Struthio camelus: one gene and its partners. The protein of the gene in region 2 interacts with the protein of the main gene of each other region in a pairwise test. Links are inferred from orthologs where the notes say so. Each region holds a gene or a part of one and is shown on either strand. Other genes may lie near its edges. The genes, in order: MYOZ1, FLNA, HSPB7 and CASR.

Region 1 (7,321 bases), on a different chromosome or scaffold from region 2:
TGACATATACGCTAATAAAGAAGTTTCTACAGCCCTTTTGGGGCACTGAAGAAAGTGACAGCACTGAATTGTTACTGTTCAAAATTGCTGCAAGTATGTGCCATGCTGTCAAAGGGAGAAGATGAGGCTGTCACGGCTGATTAAAGCTCACCCTATATGCATGTACTCTGTAGAAGGAAAAGGGTCCCATGTTACATCCCTCCTGCTGTATTAGCCCCACTGAGAAAATTTGACTTTTCCCACTAGTGAGTGCTGGAATCAAAGGAATGCTCTCACACAGAGGAAAACCAAATGAAGGACAAAGGTGATGAGAGAAAAGATCAGCACAGAGCATAACTAGACGCAGCAATATTGATATCTATAAATTATCGTATTATCTTTCCATTCACACTGGTATGCATCCAGATTAATGCCACAGGAGACAGTGGGTTTAGAAAGTGTAATCCAGACTAGAATTTGACTTGAGTGTGTATGCAACACTTTTGAAAAGAAAATTATGACATATGATGTCGTTAGAGGCTGAGCTTTTGCAATGGTGGCCCTGCCTCCTGGTGTGTTCACTGCATACCTTTCTCTGGGAGCTCAGCTGGATAGGGTGTGAGATTTTAAAGGCTGAAATTCAGGTTGAAATCCAAACAGTTCTCATATATGCAGTTTACATATCTTACCTTCGTGTGTCAGCTTCCCAATGAGTTTAGTGGACTTTTTTCTTTTAACAGGAGCAGGAGTCCCTGCTAGGGGCATTCCCACAAAGGGTTCTCTGCTTTGCTCTAAACACACAGAAGGAAATGGAGAATGAAACACTGGAAAGGTCTCTTGCCCCTCTTTTAGTTTCCCTCTACAGTTAAGAGACACAGGATCTTCATTTCACATGCAGATTCTTTTCCATCTCTCTCACATAAAGGAGCTAGTAAACAGTATCATCTCAGACAGAATATCAGCATTAGGCCGTTGTGGGGCTCTGTGGAGACTTCGTGTTAAGGCACAAAATATGGTAACAGATTACAGAAGAAGCATTGCTTCACTACCACATAGCGTTGCCACCCAGAATAGACAGTATAATTGCAGCACTGCAGCCTCCCGGCACCTGTGTATGCCATGATGGTACTATGTTGTCATGTTGTGCTGCAGTGCAGAATGTCAGTTTGAAAAATTCCTCGGTCATGACTTAACATCATTGTAATGCCATTTGGATATCGTTAGGTAGTAATACATATTCTTACATAAAGATGTTGGGTCTGCCCACGAGCTATGTGGGAACATTTTGAATAATGTCCATACTTGGTTTGGATATTTGGATAGTTCTGTTAGAACTGGAATTGCTTCTCAGAAACCTATCAGACTGCAAGTTATGCAAAAAACAAAACCCTATGTCATTCTCTTTTATGACTGTTGATGATATATTACAAAGGGCTGGAGGAAGAAGGCACAGGCCTGTTAGAGTTGTTGGTGCAAGTTGTTTGAAGTCACTTACACCTGCATTTTATGTATTCATCCTATTGCATGTCATTTTGGAGGGAGAAGGAGAGGAAGAGGGAGATTTCTTCTCTTACACTGTTTCCCATCTCTATCCCCAGGTAGGATGAGAGACCTGTACTGCTAAGTTGGGAAAAGTTAGGAGAAATCCCAGCAATTTTACTTCGGGCAGGTTCTCGTAGTCCTTCTTGGGGGTTATCACACATAATGCAAGTCGGGCTGATGTCTTCATTTTTGCACTGTCCTTGCCAAATGACAGTATGTAAGGAGACAGATCCTCACCTAATAAATGACCAAACTTCCATTGGGTTCAGCAATAGCAGAGAGTAACTAACCATCTCTGTCGCTGTGCCTCTTTACACCTTTAGTTGCTCAGAGCTTCAAAACAGATGTTATTAGCTGTGAGTTATTTTTTAAAACTAGCAGGCAAACTGGCTCTAGGACTGTGTACGCTGCCCTTGTTGTGATCAAGACGTTTTTATTTTCCAAATATTCTACAGTTTTCTTCCACCATTGCTCCTTTTAGAACATGATTTTGAGAGATGGTGACAGCTGCTGAAAGCAGCCTGGCCAGATGAAACCAGACCCAATTACATTGGCAGATATTCTCTTGGATAAGACTTTCTTTCTGATTTCCAAGTTTGATTTTTTATTGAGATGCTGCCTATGTGGTTCACATCATAAAAGAGCTCATCCTGGTGTATTCCCAAAGCAAGTGTGAGCAGGTGCAGCCATAAAGCACACGCCATGCATTCTCCTCGAGCAGCCGGACATCTGCTTGGCTATATAAAAGAAGCAGGCCCTGCTTGACAGGAAAAGGGCAATGCTGCCAGGAGACATGGGGGGAAGGAGTTTCAGGGAGTTTATGGCTCATTTGATGGGTCATAAGAGTGGCAGATGGAGGGAAAACGTCTGCGCCCCCAGACATGGACTCCCTGGGGCAGGCAGGGCGGGCTGGCCCAGTTAGGGAGCTGTGCCCCTCCAGCACGCTCATTCCCAAGGAGCAGCGAGGGCGGGTTTGTCCCGCTCTGCTGTCCTTTGCTGCTCCAGCAGGATCAGGGAGCACACGTAATCAGTCTAGCATAAGGAGTGGGGCAGCAGCCTTTCACTATGGATGGGGCTCAGAGCCACGGTTGGACCGCTGTTCGATCTGTCACCCCACAGCAGCGAGGCTGCTGGAGCCTCAGTCCCCTTGCTCCCCACTCTCTCGTGCATAGGACCAGGACCACAATTCCCCTTTTCTCCCATCAGCTCTATCCCTTGGTGTAATTCCTCTGTCTTTTTCTGCTTCAGTCTTTGCAGCAGTCATTTCGTTGGCTTTGCTGCAAACCAAACCAATCTTTACCCTCTTCAGCCCCTGCTCCAAACTGTTTTGCTGCCAGGTCAGCTTACCTTAGGCTTGTAGTGCCAGGCTCAGACCAGCTCACGCGCCTGCCCCAGGGCTCGGCAGCAGGCTGGCAGTGTGTGGGCAGCGTCCTCCCAGCCCACCTTTGGGCGCTGCGGGGAGGCTTGTCCAGCAGCCCCGCTCACCCAGGGTGCCGGGGTGCAGGCAGGCTCTGCCCGGCGCAAAGTGCTGATGTGGAGTGCTGTGAATTTGACTCCTGAAGGCTGCTCGCACAGGCATCCTGCAGTTATTAATAGCTGACAGCCCAGAGAGCAGGGTCTCAGATAGCACCACCACCAGCCCGGAGGAAAGGGGAGAGGAAAAGGTTGCACCTCAGGCCTCCTGCAGTCACCGCCTCCGTTCCCAGGAAGACTGGGCACCCTTTTCTGCATAAGTGCATTGCTCCTTCCCTTCTGTTCCAATCAACTTGCCGTTCCTCTCCCTCCTCCTATTGCACTTCAGTAATACCTCCTCAATCTCCTATTTCTCAGTAATGCCTCAAGAACTCTCTCAGGTCTTGCTCTTTTCTACACCCTCCCTCCGCCTCCTCCTCACTCCATCATTCAACCCAACTTCCTCCAAGCTCTCATATTAATTCCTAAAATGCCAGGGATTCAAAAAATACGTCAGAGAGCACAGAATAAAAATAATCACACCCATGAAACAAGAACTAGTAGGAAAAACACATTTACAGAGTTATAGGAAGTAGCTGTGTAATGTGGGTAAGAAACCCAACAGAATCAAGCAGCAAGGAGACTCATTTCCTGATTCATGGCAGAAATAGGGTTGATTGACTGCATTTAGTGTAGCTTTGTGCGTGTAAATGATTCCTCTACTTTAGCCACTGCTCATTCTGAAGCGACGCTACCTGTTTTTCTCCCCGTACCAAACTGGGTTCTGCTTCTAGGAGGAAGGAAAGTTAACTCATTTTACTGAAATACTCTAAGATGCACAAACTTTTAAGCTTCTACATACAGCAGGAATCCTACAGAGAATCATGTCCTTTCCTATTTCACATCAGAGCCCAACCAAGCTGTCTACTGAGTAAACATAGAGTCTAGTGGGAAAAAAAACAAAGCTGTGATTGTAGCAGAGAATCATCTGCACAGAGGCTTGCAAGTACACTTGATATAAAGGATCATCGGGAAACAGTCACTTTCCCTTTCTCGTATACTTTGCACAGTTGTGTTTGCCTGCACCAGCAGAGTATAAAACTTCCCAGTCTGACTGGTGCGTTGCAATCACAAGGCATTAACCCCCCCAGTGCTGTTTGGATAGTCCTTTATAAGAGTGCTATAACCTGTAGCTGTGGATAGGAGGTGGAGAGCTATGGATAATAATCATCTTTTATCCCTGTGACTTGGAGCTAGGGAATGTATGGCAATCTCCTGGCCTCAAGTTTCCTGTTTCCTTCTTGCTTCCATCCACATGGTCACTGCATATACATTACATTGTGCCTATGGCATAGCCCTTATTCTCCCCTCTTCCTACCACTGTAGCAATTTGCTGGAAGCTGGTAATCTGGGAGTAGCCCCATGGAGCTGTGCCAGTGTAAAACAGGTGTGGGGGATGGCACAACTGAACTGTAAATACCTACTCTCCGCGGTGGGCACCATCACAGAGCCTCACGCCTGGTGAGGGCATTTACATCTGCACAAAACTGGTGGGTGTCAAATACCATCGCAGCTGATCATCTGTCCGCACTTCACACGCACTCTGCGCAAGTGCAGGTGGTCACAGAAGAATAAGCTCTCAGTGTTGGCCAAATCCTCCTCACTGCAGGCCAAGGAATATTTTTTCACCACATTTATTTCTCTTGGGGTGATTGAGGACCATGCTGGGTATTTGCTCAAGGTGACCAGTGCCTGCTTTGGAAATCCAGTGGTGCTCTTTGGGATGCTGTTCATACCCCGTGATGCTCTCCTAATGAGGTACTCCCCTTGTATGCCAAGTCAAGGTCTTGAGTGAGAGGCGGACAGGGTGGTGAGGAACTGGAAGCAAGAGCCAGGCTGAGCAGGGAGAGGAAAGAAGAAACTGGGAGTAGAGACCACAGGGCAAAGTCTTTATCCAGAGCTCAGGAACAGGAGATTGAGGCGGAAAAGATCGAGCGAGGAGACTTTTATTGCTTAGATGCTGATGGATAGCATTTAGGTCCCTAGGCCAGTCATTGGATTCCTCAGAAACTGCAGTAGCAAAATACAAGGTCTAGGCCAGTCCGTTGTCCTGGCTTTTCAGTGTTGTTGTTGTGCCTGTGGCTGTTGTCAGGCTCTGATCCCTGGAGAAACTGTGGCCAGCTCCAATTTGAAAGGTGATATGTAGCTCTCATTCTGTGCTATGTGAAATCCCATTCTGTCCTTGCAACCCTGATCCTCGAGGTTATTTCTATCTGCATGTGCATATATCCATACACAGGGTGAGCTGCATTGATGGTCTGGATGAAGGGACAGAGTGCACCCTCAGCAAGTTTGCTGATGATACTAAACTGGGAGGAGTGGCTGATACACCCAAGGGCTGTGCTGCCATGCAGAGAGACCTGGGCAGGCTGGAGAGTTGGGCGGAGAGGAACCTCATGAAGTTCAACAAAGGCAAGTGCAGAGTCTTGCACCTAGGGAGGAATAACCCTGTGCACCAGGACAGGCTGGGGGCTGACCTGCTGGAAAGCAGCTCTGCAGAGAAGGACCTGGGTGTCCTGGTGAGACTTTCACCTCCTTCTCTATCTTCAAACAAAATGATGTCTCCATTTTCAGTTGCCTGTTTAAGAACTAAATCCTGCTCCTTTCTCCTCTCTATGGGCGGTTTCTCCTGAGAGATAGAAAAGTGCAGTTCAATAATCTAGAAATGTCGCTTGTGTGTCTAGCAGAGAAAGACTGATTTCATTTATAAATATCCTGCCACAATGCCAGGCTTAGCAGCTCAATGGCTTTTACCACTGGGAATATTGTTCCCATTTGATGTCTCTGCCTTCTGTAGTAGGATGAAATCAGCATGGAAAAGAGGTAATGGAGGGCTCTTACTATTATCGCACCCACTCATGCTACTCAGGGTTTGAAATCATTACAAGCCTGGCTTGTTGAGCTGCCCTTTCTTTTTTTTTTTTTTTTCCTTCCTGGACTCTAGTGAGATTTTAAGGGCTAAATTCAATCCATGCTTGAGTACATGGAGTTCCCACTTAGGTCAGCAAGGATAGTACATGTGCTGCCTGCAGGACATTTCAGCACTTCAGGGAGGAGGTTTAATCATACAAGGAACTCTATCTCACTGTGCCAACCTTCCTCTTTCCAAATATACCCTTCACTTAAATGGCCTTAGGAACAGCCTGCACAAAGCTTTGCTTTCTCTGACCTGTGTTTTCACAATTTTTTTCCTGACTCTCAGGGCACCTAATTTCAATTCAAAATATACAATTTCAAATAATTGATGTTTCCAAAATCATTTTAAGAGCAGCAGATGAGATCTGTCTTGTCACACAGTGCTGGGTGGACATAAATAGTAGCTAAGACAGGGAGTCCTCAGTATGGGTGTTTCCTGAGCACTCTTTGATCACGTGAAAATCAGGCAAACAGAGTCAGTCTGGCAAATAATTTCATTTTCCAAAGGTACAGAGTTAAACCTTGACCCTGTTCCCTGTTTTCCCTGGAGCCCAGGACTAGCACAAGCTGAAAGTATTCACAGGCTGCAGATCTCCACACCAATTGGATCTGTTCTGAAAAAAAGTTGCAAAACTCCTGCTTTGGCTTTTTTCCCCCTCAGGAAGAGAGTGGGGAGGGGGAGAAAAAAGGAGGGGAAGATGCTAGAAGGGCTTTATTATTTTGAAATAGTTCATATATGTTTTAATTTCTTCCACCTTTACGAAGACATGAAGAAGATTTGTCAGTAATTTGTTGTAGCGACACAAGGGGAGAAGTAGACAGTTAACACCAGGCTCTCCCCTGCTGCTAAGGGCGCTTAATGCACAGTGAGATGTAGGGCTTGGGCAGAAACGTGTAGGATTTGATCACAGAGCTGGGGGGGGGCAGATGTTGAAACAGCTGGTGTGCCTCAGGCATGTTCCTCACTGGACGGCCTCTTTGCCTGCATGCCCCACACTCCACCACCCAGGAATCCCCTCCAAGCTGCTGCAAACCTCCCACTGCCAAAACTCCCCGGTATGGAGTTGCCTTTCTCCTCCAGAATGTGGTGCTGAGCAATGCGATATGTGAACGCCGAAAGAGGATAGATTAGGAGGGGAAGATTTCCTAAGGTTTTAAACTCTCCAGACTTCACTCCACACCAAGTGAATGGTGAAACTCCAGATAACAGAGAAGAACAGTGGCAACACCTAGTGGCCATTGAAGTTACAGGTCTGTACTGCCCGGGAATATCCTTTTTCTTTACACATGCCATATACTACTAGCCCTGCTTTGCACTCTGCTAGACACTTCTTTAGGGTAAGGTTGCTTGGAGGTAGATACCTTCACTGGG
Region 2 (8,020 bases):
GGGGACGCAGAACAGGGACACGGCATCTCCAGGGACATGGCCCTGTCAGGACGCAGGGTGCGGGGACGCAAACCAGGGACACGGCATCGCTGGGGACACGGTGCCACCACGGGCACAGGGTGTGGGGACGCAGAACAGGGACACGGCATTGCTGGGGACACGGTGGCACCACCACGGGTGCAGGGACACAGACACACAGTGGCCTCAGCCAGGCGGGCTTGGGGACACAGCGCAGCGGCAGAGGGGGACGGGGACACACAGGGCAGCAGGGAGGGGGACAGGACGGGGAGTGTGTGTGTGTGGGGGGGGGAACGCCTGGGGCCCCGGCAGGGGGTTGGGGGGAGGCAGCCCGGACGCCTGGGTCCCCTCCCCCGTGGGAGGGGGGGTGGGAGGTGCTGGGCAGGGGGAGGGGGAGTGGACACCGCCGCCCCCCTCCAAAAGCGGCGGGGGGCGGGGAGGGGGCGGGGTCGAGCAGGCAGCCCCGGGCCGCCCCTCCCCACGGTGGCCCCAGCCCCGCCCCCCGGCCCCGCCCGACGCTCCAGCATTTTTTGGCCTTATATGGGCTCGGGCGCCAGCGAGGCCCCGCCCCCGCCCCACGGCCCCGCCCCCGCCCGGCGGCCCCGCCCCCGCCCCCCGCCCCACTCGGGACCCCCGGGGACCCCCCGCCCCCCCAGCCCTACAGACACCCCAGCGCCCCACGGCCCTATAGGGACCCCCTGCAGCCCTGTAGGGACCTATCTGCATCTTATAGCCCTATAGGGACCTCTCTGCATCTCAGCCCTATAGAGACCCCCCACAGCCCTATAGGGACCTCTCTGCATCCCACAGCCCTATAGAGATCCCCCACAGCCCTATAGGGACCTCTCTGCATCTCGCAGCCCTATAGAGACCCCCCCCCCCAGCCCTATAGGGACCTCTCTGCATCTCACAGCCCTATAGAGACCCCCCACAGCCCTATAGGGACCCCTCTGCACCTCACAGCCCTATAGAGACTTCTCTGCATCCCATAGCCCCATAGGGACCTCTCTGCACCCCACAGCCCTATAGAGACCCCCCCCCACAGCCCTATAGGGATCTCTCTGCATCTTATAGCCTTATAGGGACCCCTCTGCACCCCATGGCCCTATAGGGGCACCTCACAGCCCTACAGAGACCCCTCTGCACCCCATGGCCCTATAGAGACCCCCCGGGACACTCGGCATCCCACAGCCCTCATACAGTCCTATACACATTCTCCTGCACCCTCCTATAGGGCCCCCTGCACCCTATAGGGCTCTCCTGCACCCCATAGGGTCCTGCAGAGGCCCCCTCTTCCCCCTGCACCCTATGGCTCTATAGGGACCCCCATGGCCTTATGGAGCCTGCAGAGCAGCCCCCACAGCCCTGCAGAGATGCCCCTGCATCCTATAGGCCCCCCCACAGCCCTATAGCGACTTCTCTGCACCCTGCAGCCTGACAAGGCCCCCTGCACCCCACAGGGCCCCCCTGCACCTATAAGGGAGCCCTGCAGCCCCATAGGGCTCCCCTGCAGCCCTCCAGGGCCCCCCTGCAGCCATAGGGCCCCCCTGCAGCCCACAAGGTCCCCCGCAGCCCTATAGGGCTCCCCTAGAGTCCACAAGCAGCCTTGCAGCCCCACAGCCCGCCCCCCCCCCCGCACCCATAGGGCCCGACAGTTCCCCCCCCCGCCGTTTCCTGGCATCGAGGCCGGGATGAGTCACGGGGGGTGAGTAACCCCCAGCCCCACCCAGAGGAATGTGGGCCCCGGGGGGATGTTTGGGCCCCGGGGGGGTGTCTAGGGCCCCGCTGCCCCCCCGGGCAGGGTGGGGCCCCGGAGCCGCCCACAAATCTCAGCCTTCCTCTGGGCGCAGGATGTGGGGAACCGCAGGGCCGAGGGACCCAGGCGTCCGGGGACCCCCGACCCCCCACCCGAGCCCCACATCTCCCTCGGCCCCGCGAAAAGGGCCGAAGGACCGAGGCGTCCGGGAACCCCTCTGCCAGGGCCCCACCCCCCCCAGCAGGACTGAGGGACCCAGGCGTCCGAGCGGCACCCCCCCCCCCACATTCCTGGGATGGGAGCGGGCCCAGCCCCCCCTCCCCGCCTTTGTTATGGGGCCGAGGGGGGCCGGGGAGAGGGCCCGGTGCGGGGGAGGGGGGCGGGCGGGGGTCCCTGTTAAGGGGGGAGCCAGAAGGGGGGCTACTGGGGAGGTCAAACAGAGGGTCCTGGGGGTCTCTAAGGGGGGAGCCCAAAGCGAGGCCCATTCAGGGGGCACCCAAACAGGGGCAGGGATGGGCCCAGAGGGGGCCCGTGGAGGGGGCTCCCAAAGGGGGGGGTGCCAAAGGCGGGATCCTAAAGGGGGCCTCAAGAGGGGGGACTCAGGAGGCAGGTCTCGCACGGGGCCCTATCGGGGGGGATCTCAAGTGGGGGCTCCCAGAGAAGGGAGAAACGCTCCCAAAAGGGGGGGCATGAGGGGAAGGGGGCTGCCACAGGGGGGCGGCTCCCGAAAGGGGAAGGGGGGTCTCACATAGGCCCCCACTGGGGGGTTCTCCCGAAAGGAGATCTCACTGGGGCAGGTCTTATGGGCCCCCCCTTATCAGTGCAGGCATTGGGGTGCACCGGTCCCAACCGCGTCCCGCTGGGGGGTCCCGGGGGTCCCCCGCGGCCTCACCGATGGAGACCAGCTTGATGTTCTCCCGCTCGAGGAACTCGAGGGCCACGGAGACGTTCTCCAGCTGCATCTGGCGGAAGGTGGGCCGCGCGTTGTACTTGCGGCCCATCTTCTTCTGGCTGAGCACCTCCAGCAGGGCGATGAGGCGCAGCCCGTCGCCCAGGTCGGTCTGCAGGTTGCCCACGCGCTTGTGCACGCACTTGAGGTGCTCGTTGCACCAGCGGGTGAAGGTGTTCTGCTGGATCCGCTTCCAGGGCGCGTCCTCCGCCAGGTCCTTCTCGGTGGCCGGCATCTCGCCGTCCGCCGCCGCGCGGTTTGGCTCCGCGCGCGACCCGTCCGCGCGTGACACCGCCTCCTCCGCGCGCGCGCGCCCCGCCGCGCTCATGGCTTTAAGGGGGCGGGGGCGGGGGGGCGACGCCCCCCGCGGCTGCCGCGCCTGCGCGCCGAGGGGGGGGCGGCGGCTTAAAGGGGCCGCCGACCTGGGGGGAACGGGGAGGGAGTGAGCGAGGGGCCCCGGGGGCACCCCGCCAGCCCCCACCCGCCTCGACGCCCCCCCCCCAGTCTGGGCCCCCCCGCGCTCCCCGGTTGGGACCCTCCCCGATGCCCCCCCATTTGGGGACCCCCCTGCACACCCCCCAGCCCCGGCGGTGCCGAGGCCTCGGGTGTCCGGGGAAGCGCCAGACGGATGCTGAGTCAGGCCCAAAACCGCGAGGGGGGGTGGGATCCCTTCCCCCACAGCCCGGACGCCTGGGTCCTCGCGCTGAGTCACCCCGGCGGGACGGTGCCCCGTGGGGGGTGGGGGGTCACGCCCCCCGGCATGGGGGCGCCCCGAACGCCTCGGACCCTCCCAGCCCCACACGCGTCCTCAGAGCCTCCTTAGCGCTCCTCCGTCACACCTTGACGCTGCCCCGTCACACCCTAACACGCCCCGTCACACCAGGAGCTGTCCCGTCACACCCCATCAAGCCAGGAACCGCCCCATCACACCCCGTCACACCAGGAACCGCCCCCATCACACCCTCACATGCTGCATCACACCAGGAGCTATCCCCGTCACACCCCGTCATGCCAGGAATTGCCCTGTCACACCGGGAGCCGCCCCCGTCACACCCCGTCAAGCCAAAAACTGCATCATCACACCCTAACATGCTGCGTCACACCAGGAGCCGTCCCTGTCACACCCCCACCACACTGACAGCCATCCCCGTCACACCCTAACACGCTCCGTCACACCAGGAGCCGTCCCTGTCACACCCCCACCACACTGACAGCCATCCCCCGTCACACCCTAACACGCTCCATCACACCAGGAGCCACCCCTGTCACACCCCCACCACACTGACAGCCATCCCGTCACACCCTAACACACTCCATCACACCAGGAGCCACCCCTGTCACACCCCCACCACACTGACAGCCATCCCGTCACACCCTAACACGCTCCGTCACACCAGGAGCCACCCCTGTCACACCCCCACCACACTGACAACCTTCCTCCTCACACCCTAACACGCTCCTTCACACCGGGAGCCGCCCCTGTCACACCCCCACCACACTGACAGCCATCCCGTCACACCCTAACACGCTCCATCACACCAGGAGCCACCCCTGTCACACCCCCACCACACTGACAGCCATCCCCCGTCACACCCTAACACGCTCCATCACACCAGGAGCCACCCCTGTCACACCCCCACCACACTGACAGCCATCCCCGTCACACTCTAACATGCTCCATCACACCAGGAGCCACCCCTGTCACACCCCCACCACGCTGACAGCCATCCCCCGTCACACCCTAACACGCTCCATCACACCAGGAGCCACCCCTGTCACACCCCCACCACACTGACAGCCATCCCCCGTCACACCCTAACACGCTCCATCACACCAGGAGCCACCCCTGTCACACCCCCACCACACTGACAGCCATCCCCGTCACACCCTAACACGCTCCATCACACCAGGAGCCACCCCTGTCACACCCCCACCACACTGACAGTCCTCCCCGTCACACCCTAACATGCTCCATCACACCAGGTGCCACCCCTGTCACACCCCCACCACACTGACAGTCCTCCCCGTCACACCCTAACACGCTCCATCACACCAGGAGCCACCCCTGTCACACCCCCACCACACTGACAGCCATCCCGTCACACTCTAACACGCTCCATCACACCAGGAGCCACCCCGTCACACCCCCACCACACTGACAGTCCTCCCCGTCACACCCTAACACGCTCCATCACACCAGGAGCCACCCCTGTCACACCCCCAGCACGCTGACAGCCATCCCCCGTCACACCCTAACTGCTCCGTCACACTGAAAACCGTCCCCCTCGGCCCCGTCACCCCTGCGGCGGGGGGCTCCCCAAACTGCCCCGCAGCCCCCTCGCCGCACCCCATCGTGCCCCCTCACGCCCCAGCAGGGCTCTAGACGCAGCCGCTGCCCAGACCAGGGTATCCCCCCCCCCCACGGCACCCCCAAAACGAGCGCTCCTGGGGGGTCCCAGACCCCCGGGGGGGTCCCCAGCCCCTCAAGTGTGGGTCCTCCCCACTGCACCCCCAAAGACGGGGGCCCCAGGAGGGTCCCCAGACCCCCCCCGGGGAAAATCCCCTCACAGCACCCCCCCAGGAGGGTCCCCAGACCCCCCCCGAGGAGAAAATCCCCTCAGGACACCCCCAATAAGGGTCCCCCCCAATGACACCCCCACAAAGGGGGTCCCCAGACCCTCCCGAGGAGAAAATCCCCTCACAACACCCCCCGAAATGGGTCCCCCCCAATGACACCCCCCCAAAAGGGGTCCCCAGACCCCCCCGAGGAGAAAATCTCCTCACAACACCCCCCAATAAGGGTCCCCCCCAATGACACCCTCCCCAAAAGGGGTCCCCAGACCCCCCCCGGGGAAGATCCCCTCACGACACCCCCCCAACGGGGTCCCCCCCCCGGGCACCCCAAAGACGGGGGTCCCCAGCGCCGCCGCAGCCCCCCCAGCCCGCAGCCCCGCGCTCACCGGACCGGGCGCCGCTGCCGCCCGCGGAGGTGAAGCCGCCGGAGCCGGAGCCGGAGCCGGAGCCGGTGCCGGAGCCGGAGCGGGAGGGCGGGGGGAGCCGGAGCCGGGGGAGCGGCGGCGGCGGCTGTGGCGGAGCGCGGCCGCCGCGCGCGGGTGGCGGTTGCCGGGGGGGCGCGCGGCGCGCGCGGCGCCTTAATTGGTAACGGGCGCGCGGAGCCCCGCCCCGGCCGCGGGGGGGCGGCGGGGGGAGAGGGGCCGGGGGCGGCGGGGGGGGGGCTGTGGGGCGGGAGGGCCGTGGGGCAGGAGGGGCCGTGGGGACAGCGGGGGGGGGGGGCAAGAGGGACTGTGAGGATGCTGTGGGGCAGGAGGGGCGGTGGGGCAGGAGGGGGACAGTGGGGAGGCTATGGGGCAGGAGGGGCCTATAGGGGATTATATGGGGCAGGAAGGGGATTTGGGGTTACTATCGGGCAGGTAGGGGGCTATGGGGATGCTATGGGGCAGCAGGGCACTATGGGGGTACTATGGGGCAAGAGAGGGCTATGGGGCTGCTATGGGGCTGGAGGTTGCTGGGGGGGATGCAGGACAGAAGGGGGCTATGGGGCAGCTTTGGGGCAGAAGGGCAGCTATGGGGGATGCTATGGGGCAGGAAGGCACTATGGGGATTATATGGGGCAGGAGGGGGCTATGGGGCTGCTATGGGGCAAGAGAAGAGCTGTGGGGCAGGTGGGGGTTATGGAGGGGCTGTAGGGCAGCAAGGGGCCATGGGGGATGCTATGGGGCAGGTAGGGTATATGGCAGGGCTGTGGGGCAGGACACAGCTATGGGGTGATATGGAGCGGAAGAGGGCTATGGGGCACTATGGGGCAGAAGGGGGCTAGGGGGGCTGCAGCGTGATGGGGGCGATGCTATGGGGCTCTATAGGGCAGCAGGGCTCCCCTGGGGCAGGACAGGGCAGGAGGGGATCCCACAGGGGGCTATGGGGCAGGAGAGGGTGACGGGGGATGCTATGGGGCAGGAGGGGGGCTGAGCGGGCCCTATGGGGCAGCTGAAGGCCTGTGGGGTGCTATGGGGCATGGGGGGACCCCAGGGGAACAGCTATGGAGTGGGAGGGGGGCTATGGGGCAGGGGAGCAACCTAAGGGGCAGAACAGGCCCCGCGAGGCGCTGTGGGGCAGCAGGGCGGCCAGAGGGCAGGCAGGCGGCTATGGGGCGCTGTGGGGCAGGGCCCCCCCGGCCCTCAGGAAACGAGGCAGCGGCGGAAACGGCTCCTCCGGCCGAGGGCCCCGATAGCGCCGGGGGCTCGTTAGCGGGGGGGCTCGTTACCAGGTCTCCGTGGCGGTTCGTTTGCGGCGCCGCGAGCCCTCGCACGCGCGTGTGCATCCTTGCACCGGTGTCAACATGCACGCGTGTGCGTGCTCACTCCAGCGCCCTCGCACACGCGTGTGCTCCTCACGCACACGGCACCACGCGGCTGCCCCCGCCATGGCCACGGGCCGCTCACACGCGTGGCCATGCACACGCTACACCCCGGCCCCGGGATCCGTGTCGCTCCCGGGTGTGCAAACACGCATGTTACACCCCCACCCCGGGATCCGTGTCACTCCCGGGCGTGCAAACCCAAACCTGTTACCTGCCTGCATCAGGCCCTGTGCAACCAACACATGTGAACACGCGTGCTCAAGGCTGCACCTGCTTGTTCTTCACGCACACACGCGTGTAGCAGCCTCGCTCACGAGTACCCCCACCCCCGGGTGCGATCCGGGGGGAAATGGGATTTGGGGGTGGTTTAGGAGGGACCCAGGCGTCCGGGGGGGGCATTAGGGCCCCAGGGGGGTTGGGGACCGGGCCGGCCCCAGCCCCGATGATCTCAGCCCCGAAGGAATCCGGGGTGGGGGGGGCGCTGGAACGTCATTGAGAAATACCAGCCCGGACGCCTGGGTCCCCTGCCCGGGTGGGGGTGGGGAGTCCGGACGCCTGGGTCCCTCCTCACCGCCACGGGCAGAGTTGGGGGGGGGGCACCCAGACGCCTGGGTCCCCAGAGAAAGCAGTCGGGGTGCAGGGGGGTCTCCGGCGGGGGCGAAGCGGAGCCCGGACGCCTGGGCCCGCGCCCCGCTCGGGGCGGGCAGGGGACGCCGACCCGGACGCCTGGGTCCCCGGGCCGGGGCGTCGAAGGCGCCGCGTCCCCACCCCGCCGCCGAGGGGGAAGTGATAAACCCCAACAGGGTGGGGAGCCCCGGAAACCGCCCGGACGCCTGGGACCGCGGGCAGGGCGGGAGCACGCCCGGACGCCTGGGTCCCCCGGACGAGCGACGGGGGGCCGGGGGCGTCCCTCGGGGGG
Region 3 (7,430 bases), on a different chromosome or scaffold from region 2:
CTGTGCCTCCTGGAGCGGCCTGCCTAGGATGCTGGCTGGTTCTGCCAGGAGCGGAGGCGCGATCCTGTCCTGGGACCTCCTCCCCTGAGCTCACGCAGCTAAATAAATACCCGTGTTAGCCCAAACGCTACCCAAACATCATCTACAAGGGACGGCTGTGCTCCTGCGTCTACATCTAGAGCGATGCCAGGCCAGGGCGGCTCGGGGGAATTAAGCCTTTCTGGTGTGATCCGGCCCGTTTCCCTCCCCAAAATCCCCCGCCGCGCACGCCAGCCGCTCAGATTTTGATCTCAGTCCGGAAGGTCTGCTGGACGTGCTCGGTGTGTTTGGCGGGCTGCCGCCGGGCCCGGATGGTCAGCGTGCCGTCGTCTGCCAGCGAGGAGGACACGGACGTGGGGTCCACGTCATCGGGCAGCTGGCATTTGTGGGTGAAGGTGTTCATGACGGTGCCGTCGCCGGCCAGCTGCAAAGGGAAGGGAAAACAGATTTGAGGCGGATGCCGGTGGGCTGGGGACTTGCCGTTCCTCGTCCTGGGAACAAGCCAGCCCAGGGTCCTGGTTTAGGGGTGGCCCCGGGGCCGGCACGAGGAGGCCAAGGAAGGAGGGGAGCCTTCACCTTCTCGGCGTGCACCTCAATCTGGTTGTTGGAGGTGGTGACGATGATGTCCTCAGGGGCGAAGTCACTGACGTCCACCGTGAACTGGTAGGTGTTGCCCAAGGTCTTGATGTTGCCCGCGCTGCCGGGCCGAGCTGCGGGAGAGGAGAGGCGCTCGAGACCTCCGCGGCGGTTGAGAGCCCGGTCTTTCCGCCTCCCCCCTCTGCTCCCCTACATGCCACGGCACAGGCGGACGCGGTTCGGGAAGCATCGCCCTTTCCCAGGGCCTTTTCCCAGGCTGGCACCCACGTGGCCGGCGCCGCTCTCGTCCCGGCTCCCCCCCTCCCCGCCGCCTCCGCGGAGCCCCGCTTGCCTGGGAAGCCCAGCGGCTCCGTGCGGGGCCGCACGAAGGTCCCGAAAAGCTCCATGGGGCGGGCGGGAGACGGTGACGGGCTCTGATGGAAGCTGCTCTCTGAGCGGAAAGCCGAGGAGGACTTCAAGTTCATCCACCGCCGCAAGCGCTTGTGGGGAAAGCGGGGAGCAAAACAGCGGAGAAAGAGAAGCAAAAGCAGCAAGTGCAACCCCAGAGGTGCTGCCCCGGAAAGCCTCACAATGCCCGGAGGGGAAACACGGCTCCGAGATGCGAACGGGCAAGATTTGCAGACGGAGCCGTTGAGTTCAGAGGCGGCTGCTGAGCTTATAAAGCCCTGTTAGGCTCTCGGCTGCCTTCCAGACCTCTTGTAAAACAGGCTAAATTTAGGTCCTGCTACATCACTCCGGAGAGTGTGGAAATTTTCCTCTCCCCCCCCGCCTCCTCTCCTCCCGATCCCGTCTGCAAACAAGCAGCGAAGGGAGGAATCTGATCCCATTGCTGGCGTTCCTGCCCGCCTGGATAATGCAGCTCCCGGTGGCCCTGGGGACCGGCTTCCCAAAAAAAGGAAGATGGGGAAGAGAGTGCAAGGTGCCGGCAAAGGAAAAAGCTGAGGGATGCGACTTGCTGGGGATGGGGAAGGGGCTGCCGGAGAGGCTGGCAAAGCATTTCCCACACTCGCTTCTCCCTCCTGGTCTGGCTTGGGTTTCAGGGAAGTGTGGGGAGGTTTTGGGGCTGCCCCGGAGGCAGGTTTATCTGGGCAAAAAGTCCAGAGGCTGCAGCCCAGAGGTGGCCGCCTTGCAGGAGGCACGTGTGCGTGGGGCGTTCGCGTGGCTGCTTTGGCTTAGCGGTGCTAAAACCACTGCAAAAACCCTGGAAAAAGGGGTTTTCACTACCTGCACGCAGCAACAGCCGGGATGCAGCAGCAATCGGGGACGGTTTGGTGAGCAGGTTTCACAGGCAGGGTCTCAGACTGGACCGTCTCAGAGCCTGGCTCTTTCACCAGGCCAAACCTCTGCTTGCTGAATCAGTGCTAAATCTCCCACTGACACCTGTGGGATCGGTCCCAAGGGCACATCCCACCCGGGCGATGCCCTCGGCGGGGCCGAAAGGCTCTGGGCAGCCCCTGGATGCTGCCAGGCTCCGGAGCCGCGGCTGCTGCTTGCAGCCCGTCAAGCAACCGTGAAGGTCATGCGAGGTTTACTACAACAACAACAATAATAAAATAAATAAATAAAAGGCATCAAGTGAGTTATTAAAAGTCGGAGGTGTCCTTGCGAGGACACAGGGTGGAGGGCTGGCACGGGTCCAAGCGTGTGGCGCCGGCAGCACCCTTTGTGCGCTCGTGTCGGTGGGGTGAAGGCGAGGGGGGGGAGAAATCCCATAACCCACTAGCCGCCAGGTCCCCGGGGGCTGCTGTTCATCACCTGGCGAAGGTCGCGGCGTCCCCGGCCCCGGGAGCCACGCACGGCCGGGAAAGCGCAGCTGTCGGTCCCTGATGCGGCGCTGGTCGCCCTGCCCACCCGGACTCGATCCCGCGAGGCCGTTTCCCGTCCAGGTGGCGCGGGAACACCGAGTGAGGGGCTGAGATTGCGGGCTGGGAGCGAGGGGCTGAGGTTGCGGGTGGTGCTGGGGGCCGGGGAAGGCAAGCAGCTCGGCTGAGCCAGGCAGGGAGCACACCATGTAAGGCTTTATTCCCCGGGCCGCCGACCTGCCGGGTGGCCCTGCCAAAAAATGCGGCCGACGGGCCAGGCTGCGGCGCGGCGGGCTGGCGCACGGCCCGGCCAGGCGCTGCCCCGGGCAGCCTCTGCCGGCCGGCAGCCGGGCCCCGAAGGCAGGGAGGAGGGATGTCAGGCGAGCTTAAAACCCGATGCTGAGTAATTGCAGCCGGCGCCTGAGTCACCCTTCGCCCGCTGCGGCCCCGTCCCCTCCGCTTCCTGGCCTCCCGCCCCGACGGCTGCCCGTGGATGCTTTTGGGCTGGCTCGCCCAAGCGTCTCGGTGCCGCCGAGGCGAGGAAGGGGCTGTATCCCTCATAAATAAATAACTAACCCACCCCATGGTGATTTCCGTCCCTGGCACCCCTTCGGAGGATGGGGGTGGTGGCTGCCAGCCCATCGCCGCGGCCGGCGCAGGTGAGGAGGGCCGGTGGCACGGGAAAAACCCTCCCCTGCACGCTCCGGCTGGCTCCGGCCCGTGCAGCTCAGGCCGACTCGTCAAGGTCGTTTTTAATGAGTTTGCGGCTCGGGCAGGGCTGGGGTGGGTGCGCAGCAGAGAGCCTGGCAGCGGAGGTGGCTGCAGCCCCGGCAAGGCAAGTCCCGGCCAAGGCGGGGGTTTATAGCATGGGGCACCCGGATATCTGCCCCTCCGCTCCTGCCAAGCCGGGGATGGAGGCCACGGACGGTGACAGCGCAGGGGGGCTGTGGGAGGAAGAGGAGGTGGCAGAGAGGGTGCTGGTGTCGGAGAAAAGCTGGCGGCCCTGCCCCGAAGCCCGGAGGAGGCTCCGAGGTGAGACCCAGCCTGGTGGGTGCCGCAGCCGACGCGGGCGCCCCTGGGGTGCCCTTGGCTGGCTAGTGACCCCCCCTGTCCTGCAGGGTGCCTGGAGCTCGTGCAAAGGCAGCTCTTTCGCGTCGGCGAGGACTGGTACTTCCTCTTCGTCCTGGGCGTCATCATGGCCATGATCAGCTTCATGATGGACTTCATCGTCTCCAGGCTCTACGAGGGTAATGCCGGCCGCCCCGGAGAAGGGTGGTGGGCACTGGACCGGTGCCGTCAGGGTCCCAGCACCCTCAGGGCACCCTGGGCTTGATCCTGGTGGGAAAATGTGGCTGTCTCCCCAGGTTTGGTGGTGGGATGGTGGGGGAAAGGGATGCTGGAGAACCTCCATGGCAGGGCAAGGAGACATCTCCCCCCCCCCCCCCCCCCCCGCGGCTCCTTCCCCTTCCCCTCCCGGCGCGTCTCTTCTAGCTCACCGCTGGCTTTACCAAGAGGTCGGAGACTATTTAGTGCTCAAATACCTCTCGTGGACCATGTACCCGGTGGCCCTGGCAGCCTTCTCCACCGGCTTCTCGCAAAGCATCACGCCGCACTCGGGAGGTGAGCGCCGGCCGCGGCACCTTCTGCTTCACCGGCGCTGGAGCTGCAATGGCTCCCCAAAACAGTGGGGAGATGCTTGGGGGGAGAGGACACTGCAGCCCTCCCATCTGTTGTTTTTTTCTGTTTTCCCCAGGCTCTGGCATCCCCGAGCTCAAGACCATCCTCACGGGGGTCATGCTGGAGGACTACCTGGCCATCAAGAACTTTGGCGCCAAGGTGGTGGGGCTCACCTGCACCCTGGCCTGCGGCAGCACCCTTTTCCTGGGCAAAGTGGTGAGCAGCCGCGCACCGGGCGGCGAACCCGGCTTCGCTCCTGGCCCCGGCCCCTGCCCCACGCTCCGGGGACCTGCCCTGGTGGGGGCCGCTCAGCGCCGTCGTCCCTAGGGTCCCTTCGTCCACCTCTCCGCCATGGTCGCGGTGTACCTGGGCAAGATGCGGACGTCGGTGACCAAGGAGTACGAGGTGAGGCTGCTGGCTCCCCCCCGCCGCTGTCCTGGCCTGAATTTGGGTTATGCCGACCTGCCAACTCCTCCGCAGGACAAGTTCAAGCAGAATGAGATGCTGGTGGCGGCCCAGGCTGTCGGGGTGGCCACGGTTTTCGGGGCGCCCATCAGTGGTGAGAGCGAAGCGCCCCGCGTCCCGTGCTCGGGGTGGCGGCGACGGCACTGACGGGATTTTCTCGCCGGTGGCCAGGGGTGCTCTTCAGCATCGAGGTGATGTCGACCCACTTCGCCGTGCGGGATTACTGGAGGGGCTTTTTCGCCGCCACCTGCGGCGCCTTCATGTTTCGCCTCCTCGCTGTCTTCAACAGCGAGCAAGGTGACCGGGCTGGGGGGGTCGGGAGGAGCGTGGGAACGGCGGTGGTGAGGGTGCGGGAACAGTTGCAGGAGCGTGGGAACGGCGGCCCCGGCCGTGCGCCCATCCCACCGGACGCCTCCAGACCCCCTCCTTGGGCTCCTTCCTCCTGCCAGACACCATCGTCGCCCTCTTTAAGACCGACCTCAAGATCGATTTCCCCTTCGATCTCCCCGAGACCTTCTTCTTCATCGCCCTGGGGTAAGGAGGGCTGGCCGGGCATGGGAAATGCTTGTTTTTGTTGTTTTTCCCCGGGGAGGGGGGTGGCAGGGACGTGCGTTTTCGGGGCCGTTCACCTGCCTCTCTTTTTGGCAGGGGCGTCTGTGGGGTCATCGGCTGCGCCTACCTCTTCTGCCAGCGCTGGCTGCTGGGCTACGTCAAGGAGAACAGGCTCACGGCCAAGCTGCTGGCCACGGAGTAGGCACGGGGGGGGCAAACTGGGCTGGAATGGGCTGGACTGGGCGGCGCGGAGGAGACGCAGCCGTGCGTCCTCTGGCCCCGCAGCAAGCCCGTCTACACGGTGCTGGTGGTCCTCCTGCTCGCCTCCATCACCTTCCCGCCCAGCTTGGGGCAGTTCATGGCATCCAGGGTAAGCCCGGGGATGGCGGCGGCCGGCCAAGGCGGCGGGGCTCGGCCCGTCCCTCCGTCCCTCCAGCCGCCTGTCCGTCCGTCCGTCCCAGCTGACCATGAAGGAGTACCTCGTCTCCCTCTTCGACAACCGCACCTGGGGCGACCTGGCCCGAAACGCCTCGCCGCCCGACGCCGCCGAGCCCCAGCGCCTGTGGCAGGAGTGGTGCCACCCCTCCGTCACCCTCTTCGGCACCTTGGCCTTCTTCCTGCTCATGAAGGTAGCGCCTTGGCCAGCCACGGCGCCCGGGGGCCGCCCCGGCGAGGTGCCTGGGGTCTCCCCGCTCGCCCTTAACTCGTCCCTTCCCCGTCCCCGTCCGCCCAGTTCTGGATGCTGATCCTGGCCACCACCTTGCCGCTGCCCGCCGGCTACTTCATGCCCATCTTCGTGTATGGTGAGCGCACGGCGGGCGGCCCCGCTGCCCGGCAGGGCGCCCGGGTGGCCCCTGGCTCAGCCCCCCGCCGCCACCACCTCCTTGCAGGAGCCGCCGTGGGCCGCTTGGCGGGTGAGACGGTGGCCGCGCTCTTCCCCCGGGGCCTGAGCGCCCAGGGCGGCGTTCACCCCGTCATCCCCGGCGGCTACGCGCTGGCCGGTAGGTAGGAAAAGGAAGGGGGGAAAAAAAGAAAAAAATTGCAAAAAAAAAAAAAAAGTTGCTGGCATCCGTGCAACGAGCCGGCCGGGTCTCTGCGGCAGGGGCGGCGGCGTTCTCAGGCTGCGTCACCCACTCCATCTCCACGGCGCTGCTGGTGTGCGAGGCCACGGGCCACCTGGCCCACGCGCTGCCCGTCACCCTGGCCGTGCTGGTGGCCAACAGCCTGGCCCAGAAGTGGCAGCCCTCCTTCTACGACGGCACCGTCATCGTCAAGCAGCTGCCCTACCTGCCGCCCATCCGCGGCCGCCACTCGGCGTGAGGCTCCCCGACGCCGCCGGCACGGGCGTCTTATTTTATTGCGTTTGTTTTCAGCGGGGTTTGTGCTTCGGGCCTTTTCTGAGCTTTTTTTTTCCCCCGCAGCTCCTACCGGGTGCTCACGGAGACGTTCATGAACCGCCGCGTGCTGTCCCTGGCCAAGGCGGCCGGCTTCGCCGAGGTCCTGGCCGCCGTCACGGCCGCCAGCGATGCCGAGTACCCCGTGGTGGAGAGCACAGGTAGCCTGCGACGGCGGTAGCGGTGGCTCCTGGAGGGTCCCCCCGCCACCCGTCCTCACCTCCGCCTTCGCCCCGCAGCGTCGCCCACGCTGGTGGGCACGGTGCGGCGCGCCGAGCTGGTGGCCTTCCTGCAGCGCTCCGGCGACGAGGTGAGTCGGGCCGGGGGGGAGAGCCCAAAACCCGGGGTGTGGGTTTTTTTTTGTTTGTTTGTTTTTTTCCCCCAGCGTCATCTGGGTGTCATCACGCCCTGGCAGCCCGCAGGCACGGTGGGGGACGACTGCGCCATTGAGCCCATCACGCTCCAGCTCTCGCCCTGGACCTCGCTGCACCAGGTACCGGCTCCGGCAAAAGGGGGAGAGGGGGGAAATGGGACATGTGGTCCCATCCATCCATCCGTCCAGCCATGCACCCATCCGGCCATGCATCTGTCCATCCATGCACCCATCCATCCGTCTGTCCATGCACTCATCCATCCGTGCATCTGTCCATCCATCCATCCATGCACCCATCCATCCATCTGTCCATGCACTCATCCATCCATGCATCTGTCCATCTATGCACCCATCTGTCCATGCACCTGTCTGTCCATCCATCCATGCCCCCATCCATCCACTCACCTGTCCATCTGTCTGCCATGCACCTCTCCATCCATCTGTCCATGCACCCATCTGTCCATGCACCTGTCCATCCTTCCATCCATGCACCTCTCCATCCATCTGTCCATGCACCCATCTGTCCATGCA
Region 4 (7,672 bases), on a different chromosome or scaffold from region 2:
TATCTGAAGTTAAATAGCATGAAGTTCTACCTCCAGGTGCAAACTAGATTTAGATCTGTAAAGTTAGACAGAGGATAGCAGGAGTTTTGCATACAGGGGATCTAGTTGTAAGGTTCCCCCTGAAAACTGCAGAATGGAGAAGGGGTCATTGGTCCCTATGCACCACAGCAGTCAATTGAACCCTCCTCGATAACGGTGGGAAGAAGGATCAGAAAGCTCTGAACCCCTCTGCTTTGCTTGTCCCCTTATGGTAACAATACTTTACAATTGTACAGACTATTTTGCATGGAAATTCCAATGTGCTTTAGGAACCCCTGTCTCTAAACAAGACATTTCTAACAAGACTCTGTGAAGTACTGTCCTTATCCTCACTTTTGAAACAGGAAACTGGAAGGAAATGGTTTGTCCAAGGTCAGTGTCCAAGCCCAGAGCAGGTTCTGGAATTGTCGTCTTGTGAATTAAGTTGCTAGATCATGTTGCATTCACTCTTTCACTTACATTTCACATATACCTGAAGAGATTACAGTCTCTCATATTTCACAGGTTGAACAATTCAGTTATCCTAACTTTCTCAGCCAACCAAGAATTAGCCCCGATACATTAGGAGAGAAGATTTTAGTACTAAAGCTACCACCTTTGTCAATGCCTTCCTCAATCTATTGGAGTGTCAATAATGTTCTTACAATCCTTGGCACAAATGAGTGCAGGTAAAGCATTCCTCGCTCTTGCAGTTAATAAGTGACTGAGAAAGTGACTATCAGCTTATGCAGAAGGGGTTGTTTGCAGCCAACAGGACACATGCAGATGGAAGGGGAGCTTACTCGAAAGCAACCTACTCTGTCATTTTCTCAGAAAACCCCTACTGTCTCACTTCACATTTTTGCTTGTATTTCAGAAGATAATTCTAACAAATCAGTCAAGTATCAATAAAGTACTGAGGTTTGAGAATGGTGCAAAGAGTGTCAGACTGACAGACTTGGATTCTGAATTCTTCCACTGAGCTGTAAGTTTTAGCATGGAAGGTAACTGTGCACCCTGCTCTAACAATTTCTCTCTTGCTACTTTGAGAACGATATCAGAATTTTGCCTGGATGCCACCCTATTCATTTATCAGCCTCTCCGAGAGATTATGGGCAGGATGGTTTGGTGTCTAATACTGTGATAAGATCCTGTGCACACGTGGGCACTGAGTTGGGACCACCCTAATAATTTTATAGATGACCCCAAACATCAGCCATGTCATGCCCTAGAATGAAAGAGAGAACTTAGAGGATGCTCTGTATGTCTTCTTGCCACCAACCTGCCCTAATCTATTTGCTTTTCAACAACTTTAATCATATTAATTACATATCAACTAGTTATTGAAATAGTGTTTCATCTGAACAGCCATCAGCTCCTTTCACCACCACTCAGTAAGCCTCAGTAAAACCTCAGCAAAAATACTGCTAAAAATTACCCTAATCATATTTTTCCCACTTTCACAATTAGAAGAGGTGTACGGACCCAGACTTCACAATACTGAGGTCAATGACCAAATCCCGGTGAATTCACTGGGAACAGGACTGGATCTTGTCCTCAGGGCTGGAGCTTGCCCTTCTCATTAAGAAAAGGAGGTAGTTCTGCTGCTTGGTTAGGTGAGAGGGGTGGGACAGAAAGGGAAAAGAGTCCATGGTTGCCCCTTCCCAGCCTAAATCAAGAATAGGAAGGAAGGGCTCTAATTTCCATAATTAGCATAAACACTTGGAGGGACGCTACACTGCCTGGGAATTAGCCTTTAGCAACGCCTCGATACTCCCCTGACCTTGCCCCTCCCAGCTCATCCTCTTTACATTTACACCAGGTGGTGAAACTCCAGTAGGAGGCAACAAAGTCCTGACTGTCATAGAGACACTACCCACAAAGGGGAAATGAGGGAAAAATGCAGCTGCAAAGACACTCTGCCCCCAATTTACATCACTGAACAGGAGCATCATCTGGGCATCGCTGGGAGATGTAGGGCTACTGGCTCATTATTGCTCCTACCCCACTGAATCCACTCCCGGGTGTTCAAGCAGGGAGCTGCACAGTAAGGCACACAGGCTGGTCTAGAGGGCAGAGCCCGAGAGTGAGCAGCAGGTCTGTGTATAATGGACCGTCCGTTTCAAGTTGTAAAAACATCAGAAAAGGGGGAGACACTTCAAAAGATGAAACATAGCAAAGTAATTCTAAAGATCATATCCTGTACCTGAAATGCAAGCGAAGCTCTTAAGGAAAGATTCGTTAGTTTTTACACCATCTCTTCAGAGTTGCGGTGACATTTGTTTTGAGGAGTGTCAGGAGCTCCCAAAACAAGACTGTCACCCCTTATAAACGGGCATGTAGGATACTGTTATTAGCTGTTTTCTATCGGGCTGTTTGAGGAGATTTCTTTTTTCAGCACGTGTGATTTCAGTCAAACAACCTCTTGCTCTTTAAAGTTTTGTTATGATTAACTGTTCTTCGCCTCAATATTATTTCTAGATAACTTCAGCCAGAGAAAATACCTCTGAGCCGTACGGAAATTTCTCCTTTTGGTCTGATCCGACATGTACCAGAAGCCCGCCTGCCCCAGATTTGGGGAGGGGAGGCGGAGGGGTCCCTCCGTGCAATTACGTCTGCATTTGGCACGGCCGGCTGGGCTCAGCCTGAAATGCCCCTGGCTCACCCTCGCCTTGCCCCCTAGCCCGCCTCGCCTCGCCGCTCCTCCAGGTCTCTGCGCCCCCAAAGCCGAGCCCGGCGCTGCTCTGCGGGCTCTCTCCTGCCGGCGCGGACGCTGGCTGCCCCCGCGCCCCCAGCCCGGGCGGGCTGGCCCCGGGGGCTGCGCTGCCCGCCCCGGCCCTTTCCCGGGCGCGCACCCACCTGCCCGCGGGCCCGCGCCCCGCTCACCTCGTCCCGCCGCTGGGGCTGCTCCTGCCGCCGCCAGCTCCTGCCCTCACTCCGGCTCTGGGCAGGGCGGCGGCAGCATCCCCCGCCGGCCCCCCAGCTGCCGCCGCCGCACTTGCAGCCTCACGGGAACCGGCGGCGAGGGGAGGAGGGGATGGGGGGGAGAGAGAAACCCCTGGCCAGGGCCCCGTCCCAGCCCTGGCCGCCGCCTCCGGCACCCGGGCCGGCTCCCACGGGCCGCGCAGGCGGGGCGGGGGCGGCGGCGCCCGCGGGGACCCGCCCGGGCGCGCACCGCGCAGCTCCGCGCTGCCGCCGCCGCCGCCGCCGGGGCAGCCCCGCGCTGCGGGCGCGGGAGCGGCCCGCGCCCCGGCTGCTGCCGGGCACGGCGTCCCGCTCAGGGCATCGCGCGCGCCGCTGGGGAAGGGTAGCGAGACCAGATACCTCCGCGCGTCTGCAGACACGTTTTGGCAGCCGGGCTACGCCGCGCTTCCCAAAACGTGAGTGTCCCGCGTACGGCTCTGGGGTGCGCGCCGCTGTGCGTGCGCTACATGGCTCCTGCAATCCCCTTGCAACGGCGCCCGACGAGCGGGCAGCTGAGTTCCTAACCCTGCAGTAGGGCATCCCTGTGGGGAAGGGAAGTATCATTAGCTCCATTTTCCAGAAGGGAAAAATGGGGTCTTGTTTCATTTCACAGTGAAAAACTCCAGCTGTTTCCTATCCCTCCCTGTTACCTGAACCCAATCCCTGGAGCAGAAAATCCTCAGCTCTGTCTGCACAGTTGAACTGCTGCACGGTTGTGTGTATACATTCAGCTTCAGATTTGCTATATTCACCCACACCGACAGTTTATTTGCATCCTAAGAATTGAAATGCAGAGAAAGAGGTATTTTTTGCGTTGTTATTTACTAGTGCTAACATTACACTATTTTTCATGTCCAGAGACGGGACCATTTTACCATTGGATCATTTTACAGTTTTTGTTTGAAATCTCTTAACCTTATAATATGCTTTTTAGGAAAAAAAGATAGACATAGCTCTAGACTCAGATTCTGGCTCTGGTACCATTTTGCAGCCCAAACCTAGTGGTCTGGATCTGTCCTGATAGTTTAGTTTTTGTTTTCCCAAAACAATAGCAAAACCACAATGTTGCTGGAGTTGCAATGTACTGGTGAGAGTAACACTTAAAATATATTAAAAGTGTATTTTATTTTTCACCCTGGAGAGATGACAGAGACTGTTTATTCTGAAAGAGATTCACAAGTCCTTACTTTAGTACATGACTAGTCCGCATACTGCAGAGCTGCCAATGGACTTAAAGTCACCTAAGCCCTCAAAAAGCCTTTGGTGAACTGGAATGTAGTTAATTTTCATAAATAATTGTGTTAATTTTTTCACTTCTTTTGCAGTACAATATTTTTCAAGAACTAAATCATCATCCTTATGATAGTTATTATGGTATAATTGCATAATCAAACTGAATTGACCACAAATACTTTCCAGACAGAGAGAATAACTGACTGCAAAGCTGAATGAATATCCTCCTTAGTTCTTAGCCATCCTTCATTGAAGATGTTTCCAGAAAAAAGGTTTACAAATTCAGAGAATTCACTATTGGGGCCCAAGCAGACCCAGTGCTTCCCTGTAGCAGTGAATAGTGTAGAATTAACATTTAGAATCCCACATCAAAATAAACTCTTGTTTTGAGAAACCATAGAGGTTTCTTTGTGAGGTGGACTCAAGTTTTTTAGGATGATGCCATAGCATGGCAAGAGGAATAAACTCTTTTAAGGGTTTTGTCTGGTTTGTAGAAACTGAAGGGGAAGGGAAAGGTGGTTGTTTTAAGAAAACATCTGACTGTAGATATGGCCAAAACTTGAACTCATACCTAGGCCTCCCCATCAGCCTTACTGCCTAAGACCCTTGCTTTTTCCCTGATGCTCTCTGGGGATGAAGTTATGCCTGGAGTAGGGCCTGAACCTGTGCAAAGTATGCATACAAATGGCACAGGCCTTGTTCAAGGCAGTTTGTTCCTAGTTATGGACAGTTTGGTTGCAAGCTCGATGCTAGACTATGAAGGATTTCCACAGTGAACTGCGAAACCCAGAAGACTGAGAGTTTAAAGAGCTGGTGGACAGACAGCCTCAGACCAAGATTTTCTGGAAACCCCACTGTGAGTTCCTGTGACACAATGTCAGGACCTAAAAGCAGACAGCTCTTGAGGAAGCTTTGACTTTAGATCTCAGCCAATGCAAGAGCTGCCACCTGCAGCTGCCGAGACTTCTCTTGAGACTGCCAGGCCAAGAAAAGGCAGAAGTCTCTTAAATGTCCAAGCAACCTCCTATGGAGGATGGGGGGGGGGCAAAGCAAGCCCTCACAGGGATGGGATCGGAGAACCGCTGGGGGCGCCTCTGCCACACCTGACCCATGCTGAAGTCATTGAGGATGTGTGATACCTGGGAGGGGACTGCGGGAGGGATGTATGGGGTCAGAGATTCCAGGCTTAAGAGTTGTATGGGAAGGAGGACAGGGGACCAGTTCTCCCAGGGCCGACATGTGCTGCTGCCCCTATCACGGTATGAAGTCTCTCTCTCCCTACACAGAGAAAGATCCCATGGCATTGGGTCAGATGAAGGTAGGGTCTCAGTGAAGAGGGAAAGAGAGTCCACAGGTTTACCTGCAAAATGTCCCAGAAAACCAAGCAATCCCTTGTCTGAATGCCTTGATGGCATCAGAACAGGTATCAGAATACCTAAACTGTCACATCTTTCAGCATCAGTATCATGGGAGATTCAAATGGTGTTGTCCAGCATGTCCTCAGTCTCCATTTATATGGCTTGAGACACAAGCAGGAGCTCTTTCGTTGATCAAAGAGAATGACCAGCCTATCTGCATTTCTATGTTGGTGTTGTATTTAAAGGCCAAGAGCTCTCACTCATTTAGATTCTCTTTGTTGATATGTTCTGGTGCAGGACAGTACTCACTAGCTGAACTGGCACTGCTGCCATGTTGTCACTGCTCAGTGCTCACAGGGATCAGCCTGTTGTTTTATGTGTCATACTTGCCTTGTCTGGTTTTGGGCCATGATCATGATCGTCTTTACCTGGTCGAGCAAATATTTTCCTTTGTTAAACCTGCTGATATTTATGGTACGCTTTCCTCCAGGCTCTGCTTGTGCTATGTCCTTGGTCAGCAATTCTGTCAAGTTGCAGCAGGTCCCTTGTGGTGGAAAGACACTTTGGTGTCAGTGGGGAGATTCTTCAGGGAGCAACAAGGAGTCTTTCACAGAAGAAGGAGAGAACTCAGAAGGACAGAGGGACCACCAGAAACAGCTACTTCCCTCGTATAAGGGTTTTGTTTGATTGCAGGGGTAGTCTGCTTCCCAGGTGTATGTCACTGGTTTCCCAGGCATGTTAGCAACTCAGAGGCAAAAAGTGGTTGGAAGAGAGATGGGCAACTGCTGGGGAGGACTGCTGGAGGTGATTTTGGAATGGAGTGGCATGTGTAGTGAGCTGTACCTAGGTGCTGATTTATTCATGTAGTGCATCTTATTGCCCAGCATTGTGGCAAATAAGGTCTCATAAACTGCCCTTTTGGGCACAGCTGGACAAGTTAAGCTCAGCTGCTGATTCTTTTGATGATACCTCTGATGGCCCCCAGCCAGGGACAGCATCTGTGTCAGATGGTGTTGCACAGCCTTAGTACATTGGCTCTGAGGACAACTTTCTACACTATAAGCTGATTTCCTACTGAGTAGCCAGAGTTGAGGATGTGCAGATGTCTTGGGGTGATGGAGTCTCCCACAGGCTTTGGGAGCAGTGAGGTCATGTGTTGATGTGAACAGAGCGTCAGCTTTTAAGGCAGAGCATTGAAGGCTGCTCTTTGCATATGGACATTTTGTTCCTCCACTGTTGGTTACACTAGGTGTGGAGGGCAAAGCAATCCCAAAAATGGAGCCACAGAAGCATATTCTTCTGGAAACTCTGCAGAGGGTTAAGAGGACAGATACAACTTTATCTCTGACTAGCAAGATCTGGACAAATATGTAGGTGAGCTCACAACCAGAAGTCTTGCAGCTCCCGAGTGCAGGAAACAAGCAGCCTTCCAATAGGGTTTGCAGAGCTGCCTGATTCACCTGGTCCTAGCCAGGAGGGTGAAGTGGCACAAGGGCAGGCTTGCTGCTCCTGAATGTTGGCCTCTTCCAGCTTATCTGTGTCCCTTATGGAGGGTGTGTATCTGTTTGAGGAAGAAGACGGGGTAGGAACAAGAGGTGAAGGCTAGAGGGCAAAGTGCAAAGTCATATGGGATAACGAGAGAGCTTGAAGTTCATCCGTACAAAGGTTGCTGAGGATGCAGTTCAGAGGCATGCTCTGGAGGATGTGGATATAACTGGCTTGAGTGAGTTGCCTGGGAAGCTGGATCCCAGATTTCAGCCTGGTTACCTATGGCTGAGCCTTGTTACCAGAATCTGGTGCACTGAAGAGAATTATGCAGATAAAGACTGAACACAGACTCTCTGTTCTTTTTTCTGTTGCACAAGTTCACGGAAGTATGATAGGAAAAACAATGACATCTAACTCAACTTCTTCAACTATTCTTTAGTGCTAATAAAAAAAAGCTAGACTGATAGTTTGAGGATAGCACCCTGAAGACTGACAACCTGGAAGACTGAGTTTTTTTTCTATAGGATAAGCTGAGTACCAAAGGCAAGGCACGTTCCCTGCTTCCTCTACCTCAGAACGTTCCTCACTTTTGGCCTGTTTAGAGCTTTAAT

The links.
Region 1: the proteins of FLNA (region 2) and MYOZ1 interact in binary tests that used the Homo sapiens proteins (3 or more experiments, as listed by UniProt). The link is inferred for Struthio camelus from reciprocal best matches to the Homo sapiens genes FLNA and MYOZ1.
Region 3: the proteins of FLNA (region 2) and HSPB7 interact in binary tests that used the Homo sapiens proteins (3 or more experiments, as listed by UniProt). The two-hybrid records come from large-scale screens. The link is inferred for Struthio camelus from reciprocal best matches to the Homo sapiens genes FLNA and HSPB7.
Region 4: the proteins of FLNA (region 2) and CASR interact in a two-hybrid assay, tested with the Homo sapiens proteins (2 studies listed by BioGRID). The link is inferred for Struthio camelus from reciprocal best matches to the Homo sapiens genes FLNA and CASR.

What each region holds. Positions count from the first base shown.
Region 1 is NC_090948.1:24,694,089-24,701,409, forward strand, and holds the start of MYOZ1 (myozenin-1), read right to left. Parts: upstream 3,087-7,321; 5' UTR 2,869-3,086; intron 771-2,868; 5' UTR 745-770; coding exon 669-744; intron 1-668. UniProt on the Homo sapiens protein: Myozenins may serve as intracellular binding proteins involved in linking Z-disk proteins such as alpha-actinin, gamma-filamin, TCAP/telethonin, LDB3/ZASP and localizing calcineurin signaling to the sarcomere.
Region 2 is NC_090979.1:219,549-227,568, reverse strand, and holds the start of FLNA (filamin-A), read right to left. Parts: upstream 3,067-8,020; 5' UTR 3,052-3,066; coding exon 2,667-3,051; intron 1-2,666. UniProt on the Homo sapiens protein: Promotes orthogonal branching of actin filaments and links actin filaments to membrane glycoproteins. Anchors various transmembrane proteins to the actin cytoskeleton and serves as a scaffold for a wide range of cytoplasmic signaling proteins.
Region 3 is NC_090962.1:13,660,041-13,667,470, reverse strand, and holds the start of HSPB7 (heat shock protein beta-7), read right to left. Parts: upstream 3,097-7,430; 5' UTR 3,019-3,096; intron 2,168-3,018; 5' UTR 1,861-2,167; intron 1,301-1,860; exon of another isoform or gene 1,116-1,300; 5' UTR 1,101-1,115; coding exon 968-1,100; intron 750-967; coding exon 616-749; intron 464-615; coding exon 278-463; 3' UTR 1-277. Other genes in the region: chloride channel protein ClC-Kb-like, read left to right, coding at 3,305-3,470, 3,557-3,685, 3,930-4,058, 4,192-4,331, 4,443-4,520, 4,596-4,674, 4,752-4,877, 5,030-5,114 and 9 more.
Region 4 is NC_090942.1:91,231,025-91,238,696, forward strand, and holds the start of CASR (extracellular calcium-sensing receptor), read right to left. Parts: upstream 3,136-7,672; 5' UTR 2,905-3,135; intron 1-2,904. UniProt on the Homo sapiens protein: G-protein-coupled receptor that senses changes in the extracellular concentration of calcium ions and plays a key role in maintaining calcium homeostasis.